Oryctolagus cuniculus: one gene and its partners. The protein of the gene in region 3 purifies or fractionates together with the protein of the main gene of each other region. This does not show direct contact. Links are inferred from orthologs where the notes say so. Each region holds a gene or a part of one and is shown on either strand. Other genes may lie near its edges.

Evidence for each region.
Region 1: the proteins of DERL2 (region 3) and OS9 purify together in Homo sapiens (affinity purification with western blotting; 3 studies listed by BioGRID, with this or other methods). This does not show direct contact. The link is inferred for Oryctolagus cuniculus from reciprocal best matches to the Homo sapiens genes DERL2 and OS9.
Region 2: the proteins of DERL2 (region 3) and VCP purify together in Homo sapiens (affinity purification with western blotting; 4 studies listed by BioGRID and IntAct, with this or other methods). This does not show direct contact. The link is inferred for Oryctolagus cuniculus from reciprocal best matches to the Homo sapiens genes DERL2 and VCP.

What each region holds. Positions count from the first base shown.
Region 1 is NC_091442.1:60,274,803-60,278,548, forward strand, and holds the start of OS9 (protein OS-9), read left to right. Parts: upstream 1-1,124; 5' UTR 1,125-1,187; coding exon 1,188-1,349; intron 1,350-1,756; coding exon 1,757-1,933; intron 1,934-2,699; coding exon 2,700-2,763; intron 2,764-2,873; coding exon 2,874-2,950; intron 2,951-3,184; coding exon 3,185-3,283; intron 3,284-3,746. UniProt on the Homo sapiens protein: Lectin component of the HRD1 complex, which functions in endoplasmic reticulum (ER) quality control and ER-associated degradation (ERAD).
Region 2 is NC_091432.1:198,028,686-198,032,331, forward strand, and holds part of VCP (transitional endoplasmic reticulum ATPase), read right to left. Parts: intron 3,302-3,646; coding exon 3,171-3,301; intron 1,795-3,170; coding exon 1,663-1,794; intron 1-1,662. UniProt on the Homo sapiens protein: Necessary for the fragmentation of Golgi stacks during mitosis and for their reassembly after mitosis. Involved in the formation of the transitional endoplasmic reticulum (tER).
Region 3 is NC_091448.1:50,846,296-50,850,041, forward strand, and holds the start of DERL2 (derlin-2), read left to right. Parts: upstream 1-1,255; 5' UTR 1,256-1,404; coding exon 1,405-1,497; intron 1,498-3,059; coding exon 3,060-3,125; intron 3,126-3,746.

The DNA of each region.
Region 1 (3,746 bases), on a different chromosome or scaffold from region 3:
TAGTGAGCCGTGGCGCCGGCCAGATAAATAAATCTTTAAAAAACCAGCTTCCATTGTCATTTTATGGATACACTGTTTCACCTTTCTGAGGCTACAGATGGTGGGGTTTTTAAATTTTAAAATATTTGTCTTATTTTTGCCCTCCCCTAATCTTTATTACCTTTAATTTGCTTTTTTTTCTCTTTGCTTGCTTGGTTTTGTTTCTCTCTTGTATCTTTAAAGTCCTTCCTTGAACGTCTAAGGACACTGCCTGGCTGTGTTAAGAGCGAGGAGGTCAACAAGCAGATTGGAGTCAGCTCAGGGCTGGGGCTTGCCTGTGGGATTGTGTGCCTCACTGCGACAGCTTCTCTTTGGGATTTTCCTTTTGTGCTGGAGAAATTCCCCAGAGAACGTTTTCCAGCGGCACCATGCTCATGTTTACCTTTGTTTAGGGGCCGATTTTCTCATTCTGCTAAGCCGGTTGCCGTTCCTCTGCCGGCTTTCCAGCTTCGCAGACGTTGCATCTGCCTCCTTTCCTTCTTTGTTCTTTGGTGTGTGTTTATTTTTTCTTTTACAATAATACGTGCATTAGCACCTTACTCCGTCTTTCACTGACAGCTCCCGTGATTCCTTTAGGATCATTTTATTGGAGAACAACTGCAGGATCGTGCAGAAAGTCTGACACAAATTACCTGATTGCCCTGAAGTAGTGTATATATGAAATGAGGTATGATTCTAATAATCGCTTGTTTCGCAAAAAGTGTTCATTAACTTCCACGGGTATCGCACACACCTATCCGTCAGCCCCAGTACTCCGCTCTGCGCGGGGCGGGACACTTTGCATGAAACGTCTAAAAAATACGCTAAGCAGAGATGCGCGGGACAGCTGGCCGAGGAGAGCGAAAAGCTGCCAAAAAGCGCCCAGGGCAAGACCACGCCTCTATGGAATTGGGGGAATAAGGGGTGGGGGTCTAATCTCGTCGTTGATTGGTTGGCATCTCTGGCCAATCACGCGCAGTGATTGATTGTGCCAATCGTCGTGGTCCACCTCCCCGGGAACTTTGGAGCCACGTTTACAAATGGGAATCAGGTACGTGAGAGGGACAGAACGTGTAGCCAATGAGAACTTGCGGCGCTAGTGGGAGGGGTGAGGCCGCTGCCAGGTTTAGGGCGGAAGGAGCTTCTCTGGTTAAGAAGGGGAACGAAAGATGGCGGCGGAAACGCTGCTGTCCAGCCTATTGGGGCTGCTGCTTCTGGGGCTGTTGTTACCTGCAAGTCTGACCGGCGGTGTTGGGAGCTTGAACCTGGAGGAGCTGAGTGAAATGCGTTATGGAATCGAGATCCTGCCATTGCCAGTCTTGGGAGGGCAGGTGAGAAGGCGTGTGAGGGGTGAGGGTCCGAGGTAGAAGAGGAAGGAGGAGAGAAGGTAGAGAAAGAAAGGCAGGTGCGGAGGCTGGGGGGAGCCTAAGGGGATCGGGAAGAGTAGGTAGGGCTGTTACAGTGACTCCTGGTGATCGCAGCCTGAGACCCATTCCCTGGGGCCCGGGGCCTGGGGGGAGAGGAGTTCCAGCTGTCAGCCTGCAGGTCGGGGTTCACGGTGCAACACCCAGTCTCCGCCTCCGTGGAGAAGTGGGAGTGCCCCCCAGACCACGGAGGCCTTTTGGCTCCTTCTGTAGCCGCCTGGGCTCCTCCCCAGGGTCCGCAGAGGGATCCGGGTGTTTTCTATAATCGCAGCCTCTCTTTGCGTCGGAGCCCCCGACCTTCCCTTCTTTCCCAGAACCAAGCTTCGGACGTGGTGATCGTCTCCTCCAAGTACAAACAGCGCTACGAGTGTCGCCTGCCCGCTGGAGCTATCCACTTCCAGCGGGAGAGGGAGGAGGAGACACCCGCGTACCAAGGGCCTGGGATCCCGGAGCTGCTGAGCCCCATGAGAGATGCTCCCTGCCTGCTCAAGGTGAGACGGCCTGTGGGGACGGAGCGCGGGCTTGGGAACCGGCAGCCGCTCTGACAGCTGCGGTGCCAACGAGTGCGAGCGGGACCTGGGGAACCTGTAGGAGCTTAGAAGGCCGGGAGTGGTCACCTGTGGGCGTGTAACACAGCCAGGAAAGAAGCAGACTCCTGCAACCTGAGACACGGGACGGCCGATCTCAGACTAGGAGGTGTCACTGTGGCACAGGAGGGGCGGCTCCTCGGGGAAGCCTACCTCCTGCAGTCAGCCCCTTCTGTCACTCGTCACAGTATCCCACTTTTTTTTTTTTTTTATTATAATGGCACTTTTCAGGAGATGAATATTAACTGAATGAGTTTGTTTATTTTTGGTCTGACTCCCAAGCTCTAGAATGTGGCTCCATGAGGTCATTTGGTCTTGCTCATGGCTGCCTTCCGGGTGCTTAGCATAGTGCCAGGAGTGCTAGTTGACTTGCTCTGAGTGCTTCAAGGATAACACGATTCCTTATCTTTATGGAAGGCAAAGGATTAAAAACAAAATCTGGAAGAAAACAAAAAAGGTGGGAGATCCCAGGCAGAGAACAGAGTTTGGGGTTCTCTGTGTCACAGAAGGAAAACAGCTCTTCCTTCTCAGTGAGGGGCTGGAGAATTGAGCGTGGAGGTGGAGGGAGATGAGAAGTAGACAAGAGGTTATGTGTCTTGGAGCCCAGGGCTGGTTCCGAGAAGAGACATCTGCATCTGGGCCCACCCATTCTTCGTTTTGTAATTGGCAGACCAAAGACTGGTGGACGTACGAGTTCTGTTATGGACGCCACATCCAGCAGTACCACATGGAAGGTGACTCGCTCGTCCGTTTCCCCTGTGTGGAAGGTGGCCGCCTCCCCAGCCCTCCTCCCGCTGCCTCCTCTTAGAAGACAGTAACTGCTTCCCTGTGGCTTCTCTTGCAGATTCAGAGATCAAAGGTGAAGTCCTGTATCTCGGCTACTACCAATCGGCCTTCGACTGGGATGACGAAACAGCCAAGGTGGCGGGAGCCTGGGCCTGGAGGAGAAAGGGCTTTGGGCTGCAGGATGAAAGATCTGGAGAGAAGGGGAGGGTCAGGTTCACCGACGACTTTCTAGGGCCTTGCTGGCCACTAGGACCCAGTGCCCTAGGGCCAGGGTTCTGAGGTCTCAAGGTCCCAGCAGGGACGGGGTGCCATCCTTTCTCTTTGCCGTCTTTCTCACACCCTCTCCCTGCGGCCCGATGTCTTCTCCAGGCCTCCAAGCAGCATCGCCTGAAACGCTACCACAGCCAGACCTATGGCAACGGGTCCAAGTGCGACCTCAATGGGAGGCCCCGGGAGGCTGAGGTTCGGGTGAGTCTTAACTCCCTCAGTGACAGCTCCCCTTCTAGAGGAGGAGGGCAGGCTGGCCTGGGACAGTGAGGTGGGGCTCTCCCAGGCCCTAAACCCGAAGGGGTAAGCCGCCTGTTTCAGTGCCGGCTATCCACATGCCCTTCAGGCCAGTAGTTCCCAGATCTTCCGTCTGTGCCCCAACCACGTCCTTGCACCCCCCCACATTTGTCCTTCCTGTCACCTGACTCCTGCTCCACGTTGAGCCCCCTGTCGTCATTAACCAACTCCTCAGTGGGGTCTTGCCATGTTTGTGGGCCACGTGGGAATGCAGTGGTGAGTGTGCAGCCCCTGTCCTCGTGAGATATGCAGTCTGAATTGCAGAAGTGAATCTGAGATTACAAAGAAGTAAGATGAAGGAAAGGAGTCTAATTCTCTCAGCATGAATAACACAGCCCATTCATTCTAGGCGTATCTTAAAACTCAC
Region 2 (3,646 bases), on a different chromosome or scaffold from region 3:
GCCCAACCTTAGATGATGCATTTGGGGAGTTAATCAGAAATGTAAAATCTTTCTGCCTTTCAAATAAAATTAAAATAAATATTTAGGGGCCGGCGCTGTGGCACAGTGGGCTAAAGCCCTGGCCTGAAGTGCCGGCATCCCATATGGCCACTGGTTATAATCCCAGCTGCTCCACTTCCGATCCAGCTCTCTGCTATGGCCTGGGATAGCAGTAGAAGATGCCCCAATTCCTTAGGCCCCTGCACCCACGTGGGAGACACGGAGGAAGCTCCTGGCTCCTGGCTTCAGATCGGTGCAGCTCTGGCTGTTGCGGCCATCTAGGGACTAAACCAACAGATGGAAGACCTCTCTTCTCTCTTTATCTGCCTCTCCCCTCTCTGTGTAACTCTTTCAAATAAATAAAATAAATCTTTAAAAATTTTTTTTAAATAAATAAATATTTAAACTGATCTTCCCAACTCAATTTAAAAACAGAAAAATAAACCTTTAGTTTACCTCTGGCCATATGTACTCCTGTTACCAACAGGGAAACCACTGCCAGGAAGCTACCGACAGTTATGAGTATAACTTGCACAAAAGACTAAGGGTAGATAAATCACCCTAAAAAACTGAGAGCCAAGGGCTCAATTTTAGAAAGATGAAGGTCCAAATATGAAGCCATTTAAGAAAGCAGGCTCTATCCTCTTCACTGCCAGAGGCTCACTCACTCCAGTAATCACAGCCTTCTAGGATTTATTTTCACGTTGGAATGCTATCTTTAGAGTAAACCTCAAGTTTCCCTCTTTGAAGCTCTCTTCTGTGGCCTTATCCACAGGCAGGACATTGAAAATGCCTATGGGGGGGGGGGGGGTGCTGACACTGTGGCGTAGTGGGTAAGGCTGCTTGCATCCCATATGGGCACCGGTTCAAGTCTCAGCTGCTCCACCTCCGATCCAGCTCTCTGCTATGGCCTGGGAAAGCAGTAGAAGATGACCCATGTCCTTGGGCCCTTGCGCCCACATGGGAGACCCGAAGAAGCTCCAGGCTTGGGATCGGTTCAACTCTAGCCACTGAGGCCATTTGGGGAGTGAACCAGCATATGGAAGACCTCTCTCTCTCTGCCTTTCCTTCTCTCTCTGTGTAACTCTTTCAAATAAATAAATCTTTAAAAATAAATAAAGAAATAAACAAAAAGAAAATGCCCACATGGAACAGGAAATTATCTGTATAATGCTTACTAGGCAAAACAGTAATTTCACCTTCAGCATGTACCACCTATAGAAAAGGTCAGAAAGCTACACTGTAGACCAGTGCATCTCTAATGTCTTGGACTCAGGACCCTTTACACTGCACAGAATTCCCTTCTATTGGTGACCATGCTATAGAAATGGGGGTAGATTCTTGTGAGAATTTTAGTACACGCCACGACACAACAATTAATTTTACATTTTTCAAGTTATAAAAAAATAAAAATATATGCAACAGAGAACTCAATCTGCTCTGTTCTAGACCATCAGTAGCCCTAATGAATTTAGAGTCTTCTATTAGGCCAAAAAATATATTATTGCCCTCTAATCCAAGGCAAATAATGAAAGCCATGCATAAAAGCATTCCAGGATGACAATGAATAGTCAGTCACTAATCACCACTCTAGTCTTGATACCCAGCACCTGGGATGCTCACCTTCACACCAATTGCCTTGAAGAGTGCAGGATGTCTCAGGGGCAGTTCCACCATCTCCTTTATCTGAGCTAGCTGCTTCCTGCAGCCACCGATGTCATCATAGCCTACTTCATTCAAGGATTCTTCCTCATCCTGAACATGGAAGAGACAAAGAAACATGACAGGAATACTGTATTACCAGAAGCTGAGTATTTCCAAATCATCCTAGTAATATGGTGTGGAAATGTTGCTGTGTAAGAAGAGTCTCCGCTAAAGTTATTATGGCTCAAAGAACAACTAAAACTTCCAAAGCAAAGACTTCTAGCACAGCCTTTCCCTCTCACACTGCTCCGAGTCCTCCTGGGAATGGTTCCCTAAAACCTGCAGCTGTGAACCCTAGGAATAAGAAGAGGTCTGGATGATATCATCAGCTTTACTTCAACAGTTATTCCAGTGACTTCTATCTTTCAGGTTCATCTATATTTTTAAAACTCCTGGCATTATGTGCCTGGTAAAGCAGCAGAAGATGGCCCAAGCGCTTGGGCCGCTGCCCACCACATGGAAGAAGACCTGGATAGAGTTCCTGGCTTCTGGCTTCAGCTCAGCCCAACCCTAGCCATCAGCAGTCATTTGGGAAGTGAAGCAGCAGATGGCAGGTCTCTTTCTCTCTTTGTAACTCTGCCTCTCAAAACAAAACAAAACAAAACAAAACAAAACAAAAAAAAACACACCAGTAACAACAACAAAAATTCCTGGTATAGCAGGGACTACAGCATTGTGGTACAGGGGGTTAAAGCTGCCACCTGCCACACCGGCAGCCCATATGGGCCCCAGTTTGTATCCCCACTGTACCAATTCCAATCCAACTCCCTGCTAATGGCCTGGGAAAAGCAGAGAAAGATGGTTCAAGTGTTTGGGCCCCTGCCACCCACATGGAAGATCTAGATGAAGCTCCTTGCTTCAGCCTGGCCCAGCGCTGGCCATTGCAGCCATCTAGGAAGTGAACCAGTAGATGGAAGCTGTCTCCCCTTACTCTTTCATCTTTTAAAAATAAAGAGAGGCCGGCACCGCGGCTCAGTAGGCTAATCCTCCGCCTGCGGCGCCGGCACACCGGGTTCTAGTCCCAGTTGGGGCGCCAGATTGTCCCAGTTGCTCCTCTTCCAGTCCAGCTCTCTGCTGTGGCCCGGGAAGTCAGTGGAGGATGGCCCAAGTGCTTGGGCCCTGCACCCGCATGGGAGACCAGGAGAAGCACCTGGCTCCTGGCTTCGGATCAGTGCAGCCAGCCATGGTGGCCATTTGGGGGAGTGAACCAATGGAAAAGGAAGACCTTTCTCTCTTTCTCTCTCTCTAACTCTGCCTGTCAAAAATTAAAAAATAAGAGAAAGAAAAAACAAGGCCAAGAAGTAAGTGGATAGGAACTTTCCAGCCTCTAGAAAGCCAATTAGTTCCAAAATGTGTTGAAAGCTGAAACATGACTGCCTCACTGAATAAGAATAAGAATCAGTGCTGGGATCACAGAGAAAACTCACCTCTCGTTTGATAGGCTCCCCTTCACAGTGGATCACTGTGTCTGGAGCAACAATGCAATAAGGGCTGGGATCTGTCTCCACTACTTTGAATTCCACAGCACGCATGCCACCCCGGACAAGGAAAATGTCTCCTAAAAGAACAAGTGTAAGCACAGTTAGAAGTGTTAACTAGAAGACTGAGAATTTCTCAAGAGATCCTGAGGTCTAAACTACCAAGTTCACTAGACATAGCCCTAGCTCCCTGCCCACCCTCCACTGTCTTAGTAAGCACACAGCAAGAGTTAAAAAGCTAATCCCTAAAAAGTCCCACTGTTACTTAAGAGCGCAATGAATAAAACCTGATGTGTCCTAAGCCCATAAAGTTTTAACTTCTGAGGTACAGACAGCTCAAGCTCTTACTACAACCACCAATTGTACAGCTATACATTTTGGACTGTGGACACAGCCAAAATGGACCACTTTCTCCCTCCAAGAAA
Region 3 (3,746 bases):
TGAAATTGCTGTATATTTTCAAAAACCAAAACACCTAGCCCCACACACTGGTCGGACACTACAAACTACCTACATCTCTCTCCCCAGGCCCCCGATGTCTACACTACTCTGAGTTTACTATTCTGAGAGTAGGACAGTCTCCTTATTCAAACGGCTGGATCATTTTGAACTCCCCCAAAGACGGACCAAAGCTTCGACAGGAAGCACGGACAATCTGCACCCTAAGATTCTCTGAAATCCTTGCCTGGCCATTTCCAACAATCCTAGACTGTTTTATCAAGCCCCTACACTGAAAGACCCACCCTTGAAGCAAACCTTCCATTTAAAAAAAAAAAAAAAAAAATCCGATCTTGCTTTTCTTCTCTACCAGGCACGGCCGAAGCTCTGTCGAGGTTCCATCACTGTTTTATCAACAAGCCGTGAGGGTGATGCTCGGGGGGGGGGGGGGGGAGGGTTTCACCTGCACCCTGGGAGATGCAGGTGATGGCTCAAGTACTTGGGTTCCTGCTACCTACATGGAAGACCCAGATGGAGCACTGGGCTCCTGGCATTGGCCTGGCCCAGTTTGGGCTGTTTCAGACATCTGGGGAGTAAACTAGCAGATGGGAGATAACTGTCTGTCTCATCTTTCTGCTCTTCAGTAAATAATATTTCACATCCTTTATAGAAACCACCCCAGCCTTCTATTTGATTCCTTTCTAAAGAGCCCGCAACCACGCCGGACAAGACCCAGAAGCCACAGGGCAGGAACCACTTCCGGCCGGAGCCCGCATCCCGTCGGGCCCCGCGGCCCCGCGGCATGCCGGGACCTTCAGGTAGGAGCTAGCGGCCAGGCCGGCGGCGAGGCGGACCCGGCAGGCCGCCCCGTCGCCCCCGCTAGGATGCCTAGTCCAGTCCCGCCCCTTTTCCGCGCTTCCTCAGAGAAAATGCAGCCCCGTGGCACCTACCGTTGCGGCCTGCAGGGCGATGAGGTCCACCAGACACCGACTTCCCGCCACCTCCTTTAAACTACCGCTAGCTGCCGGAGATGGGCGGTGGCGAGAGCTGACCCAAATGCGGACCGGTGCGCGCCTCCGCGAACGAAAGCAAAGGCGGGATGCTGTCCCTCTCCTGATTGGCTGGCTGTCCGGTCGGGCAGGGGCATCCTGATTGGTGACGGAGAGGGGTCAGGTGGGAAAGCTAGCTGTGGCCAGCGGGGATTGGCAGAAGGTACCGACACTCAGTCGCTTCTCGCTGACGTCAGTGGGCGGAGAAGTAAGGCTGGGACGCCACGATTGGTAGCTGGCTGATTGCGCGGCGCTCATTGGACAGGAGCGAATAGGCTACCGCGGGCGCTAGGAGCCCGCCCCGGCGCCCGGGCCTATTGGCGGAAGGGGAAGTGGGGGGCAGGCGGCGGTGGGGAAGATGGCGTACCAGAGCCTCCGGCTGGAGTACCTGCAGATCCCACCGGTCAGCCGCGCCTACACTACCGCTTGTGTCCTCACCACCGCCGCCGTGGTGAGCAGCTGCAGAGCCACCTTCTAATTATCCGGGCTGAACATGACTGGGTCTCGCGGAAACTGGAGTTTGGGCTTCGGCAGGCCCGGAAGGGGCTGGTCCCAGGGGTGGGTGGAGGTCTACCAGGGCTCACTCTGGGTTGCGGAGCGACCCCAGGAAGATGTGCGGATCCCTGAGGGGTCGTGTCGGTTTCCGAGAGCGAAAAGTCGGACCAATAGCGGGTCAGAGCTGCGGGCGCCGCCCACCCAGGAGCTCCGGCGCTGGCCAGGTGGTAGCGCGGTGGTGACTGGTGGGACGCAGATCCGCGTAGCGAAGAAACTTAAGTATTGAGGCTAGAAAGTTGAGCATTGTAGGGAGGGAAATGTCTTAAAATAAAGAAGGGATTGGCCGGAGGAACAGTGGCAAGGTCTCCAGGGTTGGTTATTTGCAGGCACTGCCTTGTGTCACCCAGCTGTTGGAGTTGGCGCCCGTGTGATGAGCAGATTCTTAGCAACTGCGCCCAACTGTCCTGTGTCTAAAATATCACCGCCTGCCTGCCTCCCTTGTCGGCCTCAACTGTTGCAATCTAAAACTATTTTTTAAGACCTTCATTTGTAAATTCCTTTTCTGCCCCCTTTAAGCATTTTTATTTATTTATTTTTAATTCCAGAGACAGATATTCCATCTGCTGGTCCCCTCCTTAAATGCTGGCAACAGCCAGGGCTGGGCCAGACCAAAGCCAGGAGCCTGGATCTCAATCTGGGTCTACCACCTTGGCTGGCAGGGACCCAAGTACTTGGACCATCAGCTGCTGCCTCGCAGGGTGTACATTAACTGACAGCTGGACTCCAAAGCAGAAGCAGAACTTAAACTCAGACACTCTGATAATGGGATGTGGGTGTCTCATGTCATCTGCGGTGCCAGATGCCCACCTTGCAGTCTTTCCTTTCTAAAAAAAAAAAATTTTTTTTAAAGACTTATTTGAAAGGCAAAGTTACAGAGAGAAGGAGAAACAGAAATCTTTCACTTGCCAGTTCGCTCCTCTAATGGCTGCAACAGCCGGAGCTGGGTGGGTCCAAAGCCAGGGGCCAGGAGCTTTTTCCGGGTCTCCCACTTGAGTGCAGGGGCCCAAGGACTTGGGCCATCTTCCGCTGCTTTCCCAGGCCATAGCAGAGAGCTGCATTGTAATGGAGCAGCCAGGACTCAAACCGGGGCTGCTTTCCCAGGCCATAGCAGAGAGCTGCATTGTAATGGAGCAGCCGGGACTCAAACCGGGGCCCACATGGGATGCCAGCGTCTCAGGTGGAGGCTTCACCTATTACAGCACAGTGTTGGCCACCGTAAGAATTCTTACTTACACCTGGTCGACCCCAATCTTTCTAGTTTTGTATTATGTGTCAAAGAGCAAGAATTGTATCAATGTAGGGAATTCTTTACCAACCCTTTCTTCTGGCCCAAGAAGAAACACTTAAAGGAATTCAACCTGAGTGACTAAGAATTGGAATTTGTTACATCCTTTGTTATAAAGGATGGAATTGTGTTTCTTGATTGACGTGCTGAAAGCAGCTCTTTTTTCATTTCAGCAGTTGGAACTGATCACACCTTTTCAGTTGTACTTCAATCCTGAGTTGATTTTTAAGCATTTTCAAGTAAGTAGCCCAATGCAACTGTGAGGAATGGTCCCGTTTCTTCTCTTGCTTAATGTTTCGTAGCAAACCCTATCATATGCTGTCTCGAAAAATAACCCAGTGAAGATCTTTGACTTTAAGTCTGGTGAAGCAGCGATTCTGCAGCTTCACAGAGTCCCCTCAGGGTCACTTAGGGAACTTTTAAGAGATCCTCACACTCCTCATCGCGTAACCAAATCACAGTCAGCAAGGGTAGGAACTAAAAACCTGTATGCTTGTGATGGGTCTAGCTTCTGTATTTGTGTATCGCTGGTTTACAGTTAAGTGTTAGTAGTTTGGGAGGAGTCTGATGAGTCTCATGGAGTGACCTTATTTTGTTCATTCCCTACCTTGGCACAGCCACCACTTTGGTGTTTTCGCCATGGGCCAGTTCAAAAATTGAGTTGTTAGTGCTTTAAAAAATTGATCCATTTTCCAGGGGTCAGATCATGCTAACAAAACTCCAAAGAGCCAACATCTAAAACACCATGCTAGTTTATTAGATGACGGGGGAGTGGATTAAAATGCTGAGCTAGACATGTGTTTTCCTGCGCTAGGATGATGATTGAGGCTGAAGTTGGAGTGGAGGAGAGGCCCAAGCGG